Linked DNA regions of Schizosaccharomyces pombe. The gene in region 3 interacts genetically with the main gene of each other region. Each region holds a gene or a part of one and is shown on either strand. Other genes may lie near its edges. The genes, in order: sst6, sst4 and fab1.

Region 1 (4,780 bases), on a different chromosome or scaffold from region 3:
GCCTGTGTAGTTGCAGTAACTTCCTTCATTTCTCCTTATCGCAAGGATCGTGATCAAGCACGCGAATTTCATAAAAAAGATGGACTTCCTTTTATTGAGGTTTATGTTGAATGTCCAGTGGAAGTTGCCGAGCAGCGTGATCCAAAGGGTTTGTACAAGCGTGCTCGTGCTGGTGAGATTAAAGGTAGGTAATTGTTACACATTAAAGATACTTTTTCCCCTCAGGAAATTCCATTTTCTCAATGTTTTTAAATAGATGACCCTATAAAATTAAGGCTAACCGGTTTTAGAATTTACAGGAATTTCTGCTCCCTATGAGGCTCCCATTTCTCCTGAAATCGTGGTTTCTTCTCATACTCAATCGATTGAAGAGTGTGTTGAAAAAATCGTCAATTACTTGTTGGAAAAGGATTTGATTACTTTGAAGTAAACACGTTAACTCATCTTAAATACTTGTATTCCCCTTATATCCTTTCTCTCTTTTTTGTTCGCTTACTTGGGACCCAATAAAATCATAACATATTCTTTATCTGCTAGTATTTTAGAAACGACATCATTAATACTTGCGTCTGTACTGGTAAAACAAAAAGCATCTAAATTAAAGCTCTCTTAAACTAGCATTGTAGCCCACCCTGTAAGCATCACTAGTCCTCCAATTGGTGTCAAGGGCCCAAGAATTCGTCGCAGACTATGTCCTTTAGGCAATAAACAAAGTCCATAAATTGTCCCAGAAAACAAGCAGCTTCCTGTAATCAGCAGGGGTCCCGTCCAACGAGATTTCCCGTAAACTGGATGCAAAGAAACGGCCATGGTTGCCAATGAATGGAACATCAAGTAAGTACAAGCAGTGGACCATGACTATAATTTTATGTTAAAATAGTTACAATCATGAAATAAAAATGCATAAATCCTACCTTCAATAAATGTGGATCCTGAACACGTTTTTGCAACCCGTGAGATCCATATGCACCTAAACCTACGCTGAGCAGTCCTTTTTTATTGTTAGATAACGTAAAATAGGTTGTTTAACAAAAAGTAAATGTATATAAAGGTTATATACCAGTCTATTACTTGTGCTAGAACCTACCTGTCAATGCAGCTACGTTCCAAATTGTCATTATTGATAAACAAATATCAGATAATTCTTTCAATAAAAATGCAAACTGCTCGGTTTATTGCCGTAATTAACCTTTCAATAGTCTTGCAATTGTAGTATTGCTGGTGTTAAAAGAGAAGTGGAATACGTATGTGAGAACAATGATCCTCAATTATAGTTGCTACCTTAGTTTATATTTATGGATACGACACATTTCCAAAATATTGAATAAGAAATCTGAGCGTATTGGTACTTTGTGAATTTTTCATAACTGCTCCTATCAGTCTATAAATTCATATCCTAATATTATATACTATCAGATCGTCAATTTCAGAAATTGAGTATGTAGCACTTAAAATAAACTTGGCGTTAATGTTAATATGGCATCAATTGAAAATAATCTTGAGTATCGTTACCTGTTTTATCGCTTGATATAACGATATATTGTAATATTATACAGTTTATTTAAAAAAGAGATGCAGCATTGACGTTATTTATTACAACGATAAAATGCGTAAAGAAAACGACCATCTGTTCAAAATCAATTTCACAAGTGGTGCTTGCAATTAATAGGTTTTCGAAAACCAGCTAACTTTATTTGATTTCTTTAAATCCTATAAGATTTAATCACGTGCTTGCATAAGTGCGCCTCGTTTCTTTTTACCATGTCAGATCATGCAATCAATGAACACCCTTCACGAATTTTGAATACAATTGAAAAGGTACCGCTTGTTTTTTTACCAATTTAACCTGAAAAATAGATTAGATTTTGGAAGAATGGACTTGCTGAAGAACTAGAATTATTGTTTAGAAAACAATGTGAAGACACGTTTACACTTCAAGCAATTAATATTGAAGTAGATACGCAAGACGAAAACAAAATAGAAGAGGTCCGCATTTATTTGAGTACTCCAGCATTTGACAAAACAATTTTAACCTCGGCTTGTATAACGGTTCGCTCTTATTATCCATCACAGCCGCCAATAGTACAATTATTGGATGAAAAAGGAGGAAAGCATAAGTACACAAGTCTTCTACTACAACTTTGGAAAAATGAACGGTCTGTTTTTAATATCTATCGTTTAGTTCAAGCTCTAATAAAGCAAGACTTTGAAAGAGAACATACTTCTCCTCCTGAACTGCCGACAAAACTCGTTAATACTATTGAAAAGCTCAAAGTGAAAGAAGAAAATGAAGCTCCTCCTGTTATCCCTGCTAAACCATTCTCATCTTCCTCTGAACAACATTTCCGAAAGGTGCCTGCGTTACCTTCCAAACTACCGCCTAAGCCTTTAAAAATTACCGCTAATAGTTCCTTAGGACAAGAAACAAATTCCAATTCTTCCTCTTTTCAAAGTACGCTTTTTTCTCTGAATACAGCACCTTTTTCAGCTACATCACAACAGCTTGTTCACGATTCTGTTTCATTGAGGCGACCAAGTTCTAACATTCCTGCCCAAAAACCTATTCCACCAAAACCTGAACAAAATGAGATAATAATTACCAAAGACACGCCTTCACTTAAAGACAAATATTCAAAGCCTGCTCTGTTACCGCAAAAACCCAAAGTTTCTAAAGGTCAGATCGTTCAACAAGTTTCAGTGTTCTCGACAGGAAAAAAAATTGAGTCCCAAAGTTTGCTCAACCTTATAGATACAGATATTGAAACCCCTTTAAAAGGTTCGTCTGAGCTACTGTATTCAGAAGACTTTAAGCCCAATGTTGACCCTGTGAAAATTCAGCAAATTCTACATAAACAGAACAAAATTATTGAAGAAAAATGGATTTCACAAATACGAATATCTAAAAACTTAGAGGTTAAGCAAAGGCTTTTGGATCAAGAAAGACACGCTTTAGAAACACTTGCTAAAAATATTGAAAACAATAGATTCATCTTAGGAAAAAGAAGGAGAAAAGCCAGAGAAGCCCTACAGAAGTTGGACAATTTAAAAGACTTATCTGTTCAAGAACTATTTATAATACCCTCCGAACGAGAACTAAAATATTATGAACTTAAACGTAAGGACGAAAAACTGGATGAAGGAATTCGAGCCCTGAATCAGGCCTTGCATCATGAATCAATCATGCCCGCATCTTGGTTAAAGGGAATAAAGCTGTTAGCTAGACAACAATTTTTAATACGGGACGAAATGCTTCAATACTCTTAAGATTATAGTGATGTGAATTTCAGTGTCGACATTTTTAGGAATATATGGACAAGATAAATATTATTCTTTTATTTATTTTTTTGTAAAAAATATCTCCATTACCAGTAATTTCGATAATCATCGTCCTCATAACTTAGGTTTTTAAAATTTTTCTTTTCCTAGAAAGGTTAGATTGGATAACATAATTTTTGCTTACAATTGCATAAATCCATATACTAGGGAAAATAATTAAACAGGAAGTTAATAAATTGAAGTAAGAAATAAGTGGTTTTGCTGTAATTAATGAACCCGTATTTAAAAGAAGTACGGATAATCCTGCAAGAAATCCTAGTACAAAATCCTTGGAGTCAATCAACTTAATCCAAATATACAAATTAATAACCCATAATGCAAATAAATGATAGGACAAATGTACTCTGCCAAGTAAAGGAAGCATGTATTCAGAAAACTTAAGAAACAGCAGAACATTAAGTATGAAGTGCAGTTTGATAGGAATTTCAATTATGCTGATTATTGTCCAATTTTTATTTTTTAAAGATAGAGATTTAATTGACCTTATATTAAAATAGCAAGCAGCGGAAAAGCTTATGAAAGCGAGTTCCATGCAACCAACTCTCTACAATCATTAATTAAGAATTCTCCAGAAAATTTAATAAATAAATACATACATCAAAAGAATACCCAAAAAATTCCATCATCAAGCCATAAAACATAAGGCTGGAAACTTGGAACACAGAATTTTGAACGGCAGAGTATTCGTTTGCCGAACCCGCTGTAAATATGCAATCTGCACAAAGAACTGTTCCCCTGATTGAAATAGTTAGAACTTCTTCATGTTAAGATTCTCATGAATCTCAATTAGTTAAAAAATACGCCGGAAGAAAGAAATTCCTTCCGACATAAAATAAGATACCTAATGTATATCCATAGAGATGGAGAAAATGACCATAAGCTAGGATTTACTAATTGTAAAGTTTTTAAGTTCCAAGTTCCTATGTAGCCTAACAATATAATAAGAATATCGAAGAAAATGACAATACGCAAATTATTCAAAGCTGTGAGTCTTTGTTTATAGACTTCATCATCCATGATTGCGGAAGCAATTTAAATATTGTCAAATTAAAATATATTCATTCGACAATTATTTTCAGCAAATAAGCTTGAAAATTGTAGCTGTATTTAATATATGTCAAGGCAAGGCAATTTTGTGGTAAATAATTCGAGCAAAGAATTGCGAGCTTACGTACAGTAGAGGTACTGACTATTTACGATTAGTACTACCCTCTCTATCAGCTTAAAGAATAATAAAAAAAAATATATATATATATAATTCAGTTGAATGTACTAGTCATTGTTTACGAAATTTTATCGAACCTAAATTTATTATTATTATTATGTGTAAACAATTTTCAAATTTATGTAACCGTTTAATGAAATTGATATAATCAGTTGTTAAAATTAATGAACAACAATAAACAAAATTTAAATAAATTAAATTATACAAAACTTTTAGTAG
Region 2 (5,192 bases), on a different chromosome or scaffold from region 3:
TCCTCCAGACCCTAAAGATACTACACCACGTGTGGTTACATTTGCTAACACTGATGATTATATCAGTTTCCGTCACCACATTTACGCCAAAACAGGCCCAAAGCAGATTATTCTATCTGAGGCTGGTCCTCGCTTTGAGATGAAACTATTTGAAATTACCCTCGGCACCGTTGATATGGTAGACGCTGATGTGGAATGGAAATTGAAGCCTTACCAGCGTCACAAACGTGATGTTTTAGCTGAATGAGCGTAGGTATGATGGGTATGGTCAAACGGTTATTTTAGGTTCATTTGGGATACAGGTAAATAATTACAATTCTTTTATGTATAGGCAAGGCCATTAGAGTGAATGGTATCTTTGATAAATAAGGAGGCAAAACTTTCTAGTATTAGTGGTTAATGGTTATACTATTCAAAACATTAGTGAAGTAGAACATATATCAGTAGCGATTGTACTTGGGTTCCTTTTTTATATTTTAATTAGTTTACTTGAGCAATGTTTATGTACAGCTTAAAGTTTAAGCACTGTATTTGTCTTTTTAAAAATACCAACCTTTTAACTTCGGACCTACGTTATTATGGTGAATATTCCAACCAAATGACATTCCATATTTTTCGCTAAACTTCTATTTTTTTGATTTCTTGATTTTCTTCTTCTTGTATTGCTTTTCAACTTCATCAATTTGGGCATCGGCAGCTTTTATTAGTTTTTCAGCAAATTCCGGATCGGTAATTTCTTTGCGTGAATATTCAACTATCGAACATTCATTTACAAGGACGGGTTGAGTAATCGAAGCAAATTCGGGACTGCAAATAGCATGAAAAAATGATTGAGCACCATGAATAGTACCTTTCAGAAGAAGCCACCAAAACGGCCAAAGTAACAAATAAAGAAATAATCCCCAAACCTTTCCAAAGGATACAACTCTTCGAAATCCTGGAGTTCGAACGACACCTGGATTTGCCATGATGGTATGTAAATTACACGGCATTTTGTCAGGTCGTTCATGAGCTTCAGCTTTTTTCTGAAAATCATAAAGATAAGTCATCAAGGCAAGTTTGGCATTTCCCACTACCTTCCAGGGACTTTTTCGAGGATATGGATGATTAGATAAATCAAGATCGTTGAAATCTATATTACCTAAAATATATGATGAACAGGTAGCTGCAACAATTCGTACTTCCCTGTGCCCGGGCTGACCATATATAACTGGGCGGAGAATCCTAAGTAGCTGGTATGGACCTAAGAAATTTGTAGCCCATTGCAACTCAACACCTTCCTCGGTAGTTTGCCTATCCATAAATGGAGGCAGTAAAACTCCACTGCACAAAACTATCATATCCAGCCTACGAATAGGAGTGCAATCAATCCACTTTGTAGCGAACTTCCTAACAGATAACATAGAGCTCAAGTCACAGACTTCAGTATAAATTAGTTGGTTTTTTGTACGCTTTCTAAGGTCCATTATGTAATCTACAGTAAATTGATCTGGCTCTGTACGAAGTAGAATAACAACTTGAGCTCCCAGAGAAGCTAATTTCTCTACGACAACTTGTCCTATTCCAGAACTTCCCCCAGTGACCATGACTACCATTCCGTTCATTTTACGCTCCCAAGTTGTTGTTCGTCCAGAAGTCCAGAATTTAAAGGCCGCAATTGTTGAAACCGCAATCGCAGCCTTTGTATATTGAGCCCAATGTGTAATTAGATGCTCATACTTAAATTGTGCTATGTGAGCAATAATTGGAATAGGCATATTTCGTTGATTTACAAAATCTGTTGATGGAGTTGGCAAAAGGCAGCTACATACCACTGACATTGAGGTATACTAAACTCGTCTTCATATTTAATTCTTAACAATCAAAAATTTAAAACTTTTTTTTATACAATTGTTTTAACTTTAGATGGATTTAATTGTACAATTATTTAATCGCTTGACTGCTAGTGCATATTACTAATAGCAACTAGCTCCATAAATTTGACAAAGATAGGATTGAATTGTTTTTGTATATATACATAATGTAATTTATGGACCGTAAAACAGATTGCTTACAAATTGGAAAGTAAAATAGACTGTTTATATGATATATATGTGAAATTTGAAGATATACTAAATACTTGTTTTAACATAGGAAAATTAAGTATGTGTATACTACAACATTTGACATATTATTTTTTATAATATTTCAAGAAACACTGTGATAGTATATAATTCGCATAGCAAATATAAATTATTACGGTCTGTCTTATTAGCACCTACCAGAAGTACAGCACTCAATGGTGAGGTATCGTTTTCCTTCTTTGCTTATTTATGGTACCTTCAAAAAGGCTGAAACTACATTGCACGCTTTAGCTTGATCTACCTAATGAGTCTATAAACATCATCGATATTTACGACAATTAGTGTTCTCTCAATACTTGCTTTACTATATTTGCCGCTCTGCACTATCAACCGTTATACCGAGATGTGCTAAGCTGCCCGCACTATTACTTAGCAAGTTTGAGCCACGAACAATCTGTTATTGCTGTCGAGAACCAAACTCTTTCTCAAATTGAATTTTATTGGAAAGGAGGATTTACAATACATTATTTTGCCATAATTTCAAACAATCAGAAGAATTGTGCCAAAGTTGTTATACTTCACCTGCTGCTTTTGTTTATTAGGAATTTTTGAAGGCCATTGGTTATTTGTTTGGTGACAATTTAGCTTACAAATAATAAAAAGATTTCTTTTGTTTCTTAATTTCGGTTTTTCTTTTCTTCTCTATTTTCATAACGATGTCTCGGTGGTGGAATTCCAATTCTCAGTTTGCTTCCGACATAGAAAAGGCTACATCGGAAACGCTTCCTGCTGGCTCTGAAGAAATTTCATTATATTTAGAAATTTCTGATCAAATACGTAGTAAGTCTGTTGATCCGAAATTTGCTATGCGTATTCTTAAATCCCGAATTGATCATTCGAATCCGAATGTTCAAATAATGGCATTGAAGTTGACAGATACCTGCGTTAAAAATGGGGGTTCCGGTTTTTTATTGGAAATAGCTTCTAGAGAGTTTATGGATAATTTGGTATCTATTCTACGATCTCCTGCAGGAATAGACGAAGACGTTAAAATGGTCATTTTACGATACATTCAGTCTTGGGCTTTGGCAGTTCCAGATACCAATTCTCCACTTAGTTATATTATTCATGTTTATCAAAATTTAAAAGACGGTGATTATGAGTTCCCTGAGCCTTCTCAGAACATTACTAGCAAATTTTTAGATACTGAAACACCGCCCGATTGGACAGATAGTGAAGTTTGTCTTCGTTGTCGTACACCTTTTACATTCACTAATCGTAAACACCATTGTAGAAATTGCGGTGGCGTGTTTTGCAATCAATGTTCTTCAAAAACACTTTCTCTTCCTCACCTTGGAATTAACCAGCCTGTTAGGGTATGCGACAGTTGTTATTCATTACGTACGAAACCCAAAGGTTCCAAATCAAGAGCGCGAAATGAAAGGAAATTCCATGCGAAGACTAGAAAGACACCCTCTAAACCCGTAACTAATAATGAAGACGAAGATATCAAAAGAGCTATTGAGCTTTCCCTCAAAGAAATGCCTCAATCACGAGAACCTCCATCTTATGAAAGACCTTCAGAGGCCAATGTAGTTATTAGTCAAGACCAACATCTTACAGAAGACGAAGATGAAGAGCTTAAACGTGCTATTGCTATCAGCCTTGAGGAAGCACAGAAGTCATCTCAAAAGGATGACAATGTTACGGCACCTAACAATATGAATATTTCTTACCCTAGTGTTCCAGCTCACACCGTTTCAACTGATATTCGATCATCTCCTTTCTCTGGTAGGCCGAGTGATAATCCTTCTACTTTAATTTCTACTGCGGATGCTGATAACATCACTTTATATGCTACTTTGGTGCAAAAGTTAAAAAAGCTACCACCTGGGTCTATTTTTACGGAATATCAGCTACAGGAACTCCACGAAAATATGGGTGTTATGCGAACTCGTATGATGCGATCGCTTGGTGAAACAATGAGTAAATATAACGGGCTAATTCAAGCTTTGCAAAAGCTCCAAACTTGTATGCGATTGAATGATGCTCTAATAGAACAAAGACTTTCATCCACGTATGCACATCATTATATTGATTCTAGCATGGATTCAAACCGATCAATTGAACCTGAGCCGGATGTAATTAGCACTGTGAGGAATAGTTCAACCATTCCCCAGGCTTCGTCTTCTTCTGTCCCGAAAATCGTTGTCGATTCGTCTCCGGTAACAGAAAATCCCCCTAGTCATTCTGATGTGATGGGTCAGAAAGATACTATCTCCAGTTATTACTCGACGGATACAGACGTTTCTGCGAATGTAATGGGAAATCGACACGATGAAGTTGTATTTTCTGACACCGCATCTGGTGAAAAGAATACAAAATTAAATATCGATGAAAGTACCAACTATTATAATACTGATTCAATCGATAAAGTTGGAGAGCCTTTTGACGAAATTTCCTCTGGTTATGATGATTTAATGAATGGCAATGATAAGCAAGGTAATGATATTCCTGAAGTTCAAGAAGCATCTTTAATCGAGCTTTAGGTTTTAAACATCTTATAATACATATTAAATACTTAGATCAATTTATCGACAATGCATGTCTGTTTACGATCCTTTTAATATTTTTTTGTTTTTCAAAATTGATCAATTGTAACCTAAAATTCAGAATGGTGAATACATACGTAAACTAAACTAATAAACGACTATAGACTCCGAACCTGGGTAGTTATTTGTAAATCAAGCGCTCTCAGTCTCCACAGTTGCGGCAGAGACTGCTTCATTTGAAAAAGCCTCCTTGGAGTTTTTCCAGTCAACAGTTGAAGCATCAAAAGGTGAAAATTTGAGGTAACACATATCTTGAGGAAATGTCGTAGCGAAAATCATTTGAGTATCAGAGTCAGGGGTTCTTTTATGTTTCCAATCAAGCATGATACTGGCCTTTCCAATGCAAGCAATTAAATGATTAACGGCATAACGCTGGCCCAAACATACATGAGGACCATTACCAAAAACCATCCAATTCTTAGGACTTTGCTCGGCAAGACCATTTGGTGCCCAGCGGTCAGGATTAAATGTTTCTGGCTCTGGATAAACCTTAGAATCGTGAAGTGCACCATAGAGG
Region 3 (5,730 bases):
GTACCCCACAATTTTAAGGATCTTCCAATTGAGTCACTTGTGAAATTTATTGCGTAAATCAAACACTCTACCGTGAGCATTACTGCAATGATGGAAAAAACATCTAATATGAGGTGCGACGATACAGTAGAACGTCCGATTCCTTCAAATATATTTATTATTTGAATATTTAAAAAGTTAACAATCGCAGAAATTTGCGTAACTTAACCCAACAATTGTGTAAAGTAAAGGAATTAACTATTCATATTGCTATGCTTTTAACGTAGATATTGCAGAAGAACAATTTTATGACGAACAAGAGGAAGTCGCATAAGTTTTATAGATTTATGAAATGTTTTCAAGTGCATGAGCAACAATTGCGTGAATGCACAAAATACGTCTTTGCCAATAAAGCGCTCAAATCATAAGATTAGAAAGAAAAATTCTTACGTTATGGTTTATTTACAAATCTAAATGCGTCCTAAAAATTTTATTTTGGTTAGTTGACTACAAAGTAAAAAAAAAAATAAGGTAAAGGAAACGATATACAGTCAATGAAATGAGTATTTTTCTAACTCTACTAGAATGATTATTTTCTAGATCTCTCTAGAAAGATAGCACAGCCTTGCGTACCGAAGTTTATATTTGAATCTGCCTCGGTTGTGGCGCATAAGTGGCAAATTTGGACTTTTCTAGAGCAAGCACTAACGAACATCTAAGTCCACCCAATACAGAGTTTGAGTGTTAGCAAAAGACGCCGTTCCGAAAGTACAAACTCCGGCAAATTCGTGATCTTTCACAACGTTTACGAGAAAATTCGAGTCATCGTACAATATATGACATCCATCCCATTCCGTGCTTCCCAGAAAGGTATAAATAAGGGTACTCCTTCCGCTAGTCCAGCATCGAACAAATACAGATTTGAATTGAATTCATATAATTTCAAGTTACTCGCAATTGTTTAAATTTTAAAAAATGTCTTTGCAACCTTTTTTCGGCTTTCCCCCTACTGTCAACGACTTGTTCTCTGACTTTGTTAGTTACTCCCCTCGTTTGAACAACCAAATTCCTGGGGAGTTGTCTCCTTCGATTGATGTGCATGAGGGTAAAGACACTGTTAGCGTTGATGTAGAACTCCCTGGTGTTAAGAAAGAGGACGTTCAAGTCCATTATGATAGCGGAAAACTTACTATTTCTGGCGAAGTCGTCAATGAGAGAAAGAATGAAAGCACCGAGGGTAACCAACGCTGGTCAGAGCGTCGCTTTGGCTCATTCTCTCGTACCATTACTATTCCAGCCAAGATTGATGCAGATCGCATTGAGGCCAACTTCAGTAATGGCCTATTGACTGTCACCTTGCCCAAGGTCGAGAAGTCCCAAACTAAGAAACAAATTGCTATTAAGTAAAATCGTCTCTTCCGATTTTAATATGATAGTTTCGAAATGGTTATGAGACCAATCTTGTTGGATTGTGAGCATATATTATTGTTTGATTTAACAATCAATCATAACATATGCAATTAATGATCCGCTTGCCATTGGATTGATGAATTTTGATAATGAATTGAACACGGTCTTCTAAACAGTAAAAGAGCATTTAAATTCCACATCAAGCAATTTATGGCCAGCTGTCAGACAGTGTTTTAATGATCTTGACTACCACTTGTTACGATTCTCCAATGATGAGCAAGTGATCTCTAGCAATTTTTCAAAATAAATAAATAAATAAATATTTTTTTATTCCTAATTAGAAAACAAGTTGTTTCAAAATGCTCTATCGTAATATGTGTAGATTTATTTTTATTTTTTTCAAAAAAAAAGAACAGTATTATGTAGCTCCTAATGAATTAACAGGAGTTACATTAGCATATCATAAAGTTGTGTATGCTCTTTGAGTCTTAAATCACCGGGGCAATGAAATCGTCTTCCTTTTGCGGAGATCTGATAATATGCTCTTAACAATTTTTGGTTTTATTAGTGAGCCATAAGGTTTGTTTAAGCGGAAGTTTTGTGATTTCATGTTAGGGACAAGGGCTTCATAGATGTGTTCCTTTCTATTTTTATTCTTTATATTACTAGTTCATTGGTTCATGGACACGCTAACCTAAAAGTAGTTAAATCTCCTTGGCCTTGAGCGAGTGTTTCCATACTACCACTAATCCTTGGGTGATCCAATGTTTCCTATAAAAAAAAGTACACATAAATATATAGCCTAGGGTACCTTTCTTTTTCAGTAATCAACATACAGTTTAAAGTTAAGAATGTTATGGTTTTCGTGTGTGATTAAACCAAATTCTTGTTTGCTATAATATCTAGCTCTACAGTAAAGCCGAAAGCTCTTGTATTGCTATGGCTTTGTAAAACTTAAATTCGGCGAATCTCGTTAATATACACTATTCTATCAACACCAAAACCTAAAGTATTTATTATCAAACAGCTGCGTTTAACGTACATGCTTTTCGATATAACAATCATGACAATTCATAGAACTTAATTAATAGAACCAATAATTTCCGGAGATAATTTTAATCTTCGGTTTGCATTTCTGTTCAAATGTCAGAAGTCGAAACGCCTACCGCAGCCTCGCCCACTTTTCCTGTTGAAACCTCTCACCGTTTAGATACTTTGCATACATCAAGCACAGAGCAAATCATTAAAGATTCCGAGAATGTTGTCCACACTACGTTGAAATTGCCGACTAGTACGTTGTCGCGCGAATTTTGGATGAAAGATGAAAGAACAAACAACTGTTCATTATGTGAGACGGAATTTACTTTATTTCGAAGGAAACATCATTGTAGAATATGTGGGAAAATTATCTGCAAATATTGCTTAAAAGAAGCTCCTGGATTTATCTTTCGTCTCCAAGGATCGATCAAAGTGTGTCGTCCATGTGCTTCAATTTTAGTTAATAATTATTCTCGAAGCCAGCTATTCAATCATTCATTAAACGAATCCAAAAATAGAGATCTTACGGAGCAACATCCGTTTGTTACACTGGACGAACTTAATTCGAATGATCAAGTACTATCATCATTTGGAGATTTAAGTAGCACATTTGAGATGCCTAATAATATTCATCCTCCTGAAGTTGCTCCAATGATAGCTATTCCCTCTAGTCGCTCGAATTATGATTCTCCTGGTTGGGCTCACCATTCCATCTTTCTTGACTGGAGCAAAAGGAATTTAGATTCGAATGTTATAAATGTTGAAGATTCCGAAAGTGGTAAATATAATGCTTTAACCATTACAAATAGTTACGATGCTGGTCCTAGCTCTGTTTCCACAGATTATCGTCCCGTCAATTTTGGAAAAGTACCTTCATACTCAAAGTTAAGAAAGAATAAAGCGTTTTCCTCAGCGAAAGTCTCTGATATGTACTTGTCGGCTGATGAAAGAAACCGGCTCGAGGATTTTAGCAAAGGCGACAGAGGCCTTTCATTTGTTAACCTTTCTCCAAATATAAAAGCAACGTCTTACGATCGATTGAGCACAGTAATAAATGAACCCTTTATTTCAAGAAGTTCTTCCTTGACTGATGAACGGGGTTTGGCCGATTCGGGCAATTCCTATCATCATTTCTCCGACTCCGACGATGAATCACTATTCAATGATGGATTGGGCCTTTCTTTTCATGCCAATAGTGCAATTATTAAGCAACGCCAGCAAAATGTTGCATCAATTCAGCGTTACGGTAATGAAAGTTACTTATCAAATTTTTTAAAAGCTTTTCTTCCGAAAACGGTTTGCGACTATCTTTTTCCTTCTTCTACTATTCCCGATGGACTTCCCGCTTTAATTGAAAACTTCAATGCGCGAGTTGATAAGGTGAATCATCCCGGTGGAACAGAAGAGCCTCTTCCTTACCAGGGAAAGTCGCGTGCTTCTTCTGTAGTTACCTCTTCCAAAAGCACATGTATTTTACCACCTTGGATTCTCTTCTCTGATTCATTTAATCAGCTTGTATGTACTTTTCTGGGAAAATTACTCTTTCAAATGCTAAATGATGAGGGTGTGGATTCGCCTATGCAATGGGTACTTTGTCTCCCAAAAATTCTTTTAAAAATGGCTTTGGATCTAGGTCCTGATATTCGCTCTGGTGATGATATTGATGTCCGCAGCTATGTAAAAATAAAAAAGATTCCCGGGGGAAGCATTCAAGATTGTTTTCTTGTTAATGGTGTTTTGTTCTCAAAAAAAGCTTCGTCCAAATCTATGGACCGCTCGCTTCGTCGGCCTCGTATAGCTCTTTTAACTTTCAGTTTAGACTACGCTTGTGACGAACAGAGAATTTTATCCTTGGATTTAATCATCTCTCAGCAAGAAGAGTATATTATAAATCTTGTCAATAGAATCTGCATGCTTAAACCGAATCTAGTTTTTGCTCAGGGTCAAATCCCCAGTATTGCCTTGAAGTACTTTGAAGAACATGGCGTTATAGCCTTTCATGGACTTAAAGAATCAGTTTTATATGACATAGCTAGATGTTGTCGTGCAGACATAATATCGTCAATAGATAAATTGTCGCTTTGTCCTCGTCTTGGTACTTGCGGCAGGTTTCAACTCAGAACGTATGTTGTCGATGAAAACAAAGGGTTGAGGAAAACGTTTGCTATACTTGATCGCTGCTCGGAACGTTTAGGCTGCACCATAGTTCTAAGAGGAGCTGATTATAATCAGTTGAGCAAGGTCAAGAAGATTGTCGAACTTGTTGTTTTGATTGCATATCATATCAAACTTGAATGTGCCTTGTTAAGAGACAAATTTGTGAATATGCCGGAGCTTTTTGAAACAACCTATCAAAGTTTGTCTAGGAAATCGTTGCCTTCGTTTGCCTCTACTGCAGCTGATAAAGAGAAAAGCCAAAATCATGAAAAAAAATCTCTGAACAGTGATAATCAAAGTTTGCGACCTTTGGAAAATGAAAATCAAAGTGTTTCTAGCACCCAAGGTAGCAACAGCCCGCTTGAGTTGATCAATAACTTACCAGCCTCAGATGACTATTCTTCTATTACCAAGGCTTTGAAAACCAGATTTTTAACGTTTTCACCCTTTTTATCAAAGCCTCTTCCACGTTTATTAAACCAAGTTAATTATTACCAGTTTATTCGTAACAAATTACTGAAAGATGTGAAGTTACATCCATACTCACCAACTGGCTCATTCGTAATGAAGCAGTCCGAAAATGACAATGTAGAAGAAAGTTACGAAGAGTCCTATAAATTCTTTTGTATTGATGAACGTTATCATTTTTTAGAAAAGCAGTGGACACTTTATTACTCTCATTCAAAACTCATGTTTTCTCCATTTTCTTCTCAAAGGATTATTTTGTTATATTCCATTATTAACAAGGAAACTTCTGTTCCTTGTATTGGCCCTGAACGTTGTCTATTAGAATTTTATCGAGAAACTGATTGCACTCTTGGTCAGTACATAGAGGACTCATGCTTGAATACCAATGTAAGTTGTGGAGGTGAGTATTGTAAAACGAATGATATGCTGTGGCATTACAGGAGTTATGTTCATGGAAATAGTCGGATCAGCGTTTTTTTGGAATCTTTTTCGTGCCCTGTCCCTGGTTTGGAAGAAAAGATAATTATGTGGAGTTACTGCAAATTCTGTAAAAAGAATACACACATTACTGTTATGTCTGAAGAAACATGGAAATATTCGTTTGGAAAATATCTTGAATTCATGTTCTATAATTCTCAAATAAGGGATCGCTTCGAATTCTGTGACCACAGTGTTATG

Evidence for each region.
Region 1: of fab1 (region 3) and sst6, changing one suppresses a phenotype caused by changing the other (phenotypic suppression), as found in Schizosaccharomyces pombe (one study listed by BioGRID).
Region 2: of fab1 (region 3) and sst4, changing one suppresses a phenotype caused by changing the other (phenotypic suppression), as found in Schizosaccharomyces pombe (one study listed by BioGRID).

Annotation. Positions count from the first base shown.
Region 1 is NC_003424.3:4,774,077-4,778,856, forward strand, and holds sst6 (ESCRT I complex subunit Vps23), read left to right. Parts: upstream 1-1,612; 5' UTR 1,613-1,761; coding exon 1,762-1,818; exon of another isoform or gene 1,819-1,857; coding exon 1,858-3,264; 3' UTR 3,265-3,362; downstream 3,363-4,780. Other genes in the region: met14 (adenylyl-sulfate kinase), read left to right, coding at 1-184, 291-430; SPOM_SPAC1782.12C (uncharacterized protein), read right to left, coding at 610-858, 915-991, 1,088-1,118; protein mug162, read right to left, coding at 3,363-3,422, 3,461-3,880, 3,933-4,071, 4,178-4,353. UniProt on the Schizosaccharomyces pombe protein: Component of the ESCRT-I complex, a regulator of vesicular trafficking process. Binds to ubiquitinated cargo proteins and is required for the sorting of endocytic ubiquitinated cargos into multivesicular bodies (MVBs).
Region 2 is NC_003424.3:2,475,340-2,480,531, forward strand, and holds sst4 (ESCRT 0 complex subunit sst4), read left to right. Parts: upstream 1-2,531; 5' UTR 2,532-2,779; coding exon 2,780-4,612; 3' UTR 4,613-4,692; downstream 4,693-5,192. Other genes in the region: U3 snoRNP-associated protein Imp4, read left to right, coding at 1-247; pbr1 (putative dehydrogenase), read right to left, coding at 627-1,757; C-22 sterol desaturase Erg5, read right to left, coding at 4,808-5,192.
Region 3 is NC_003423.3:2,656,146-2,661,875, reverse strand, and holds the start of fab1 (1-phosphatidylinositol-3-phosphate 5-kinase Fab1), read left to right. Parts: upstream 1-2,418; 5' UTR 2,419-2,532; coding exon 2,533-5,730. Other genes in the region: SPOM_SPBC3E7.17 (uncharacterized protein), read right to left, coding at 1-80; heat shock protein Hsp16, read left to right, coding at 955-1,386.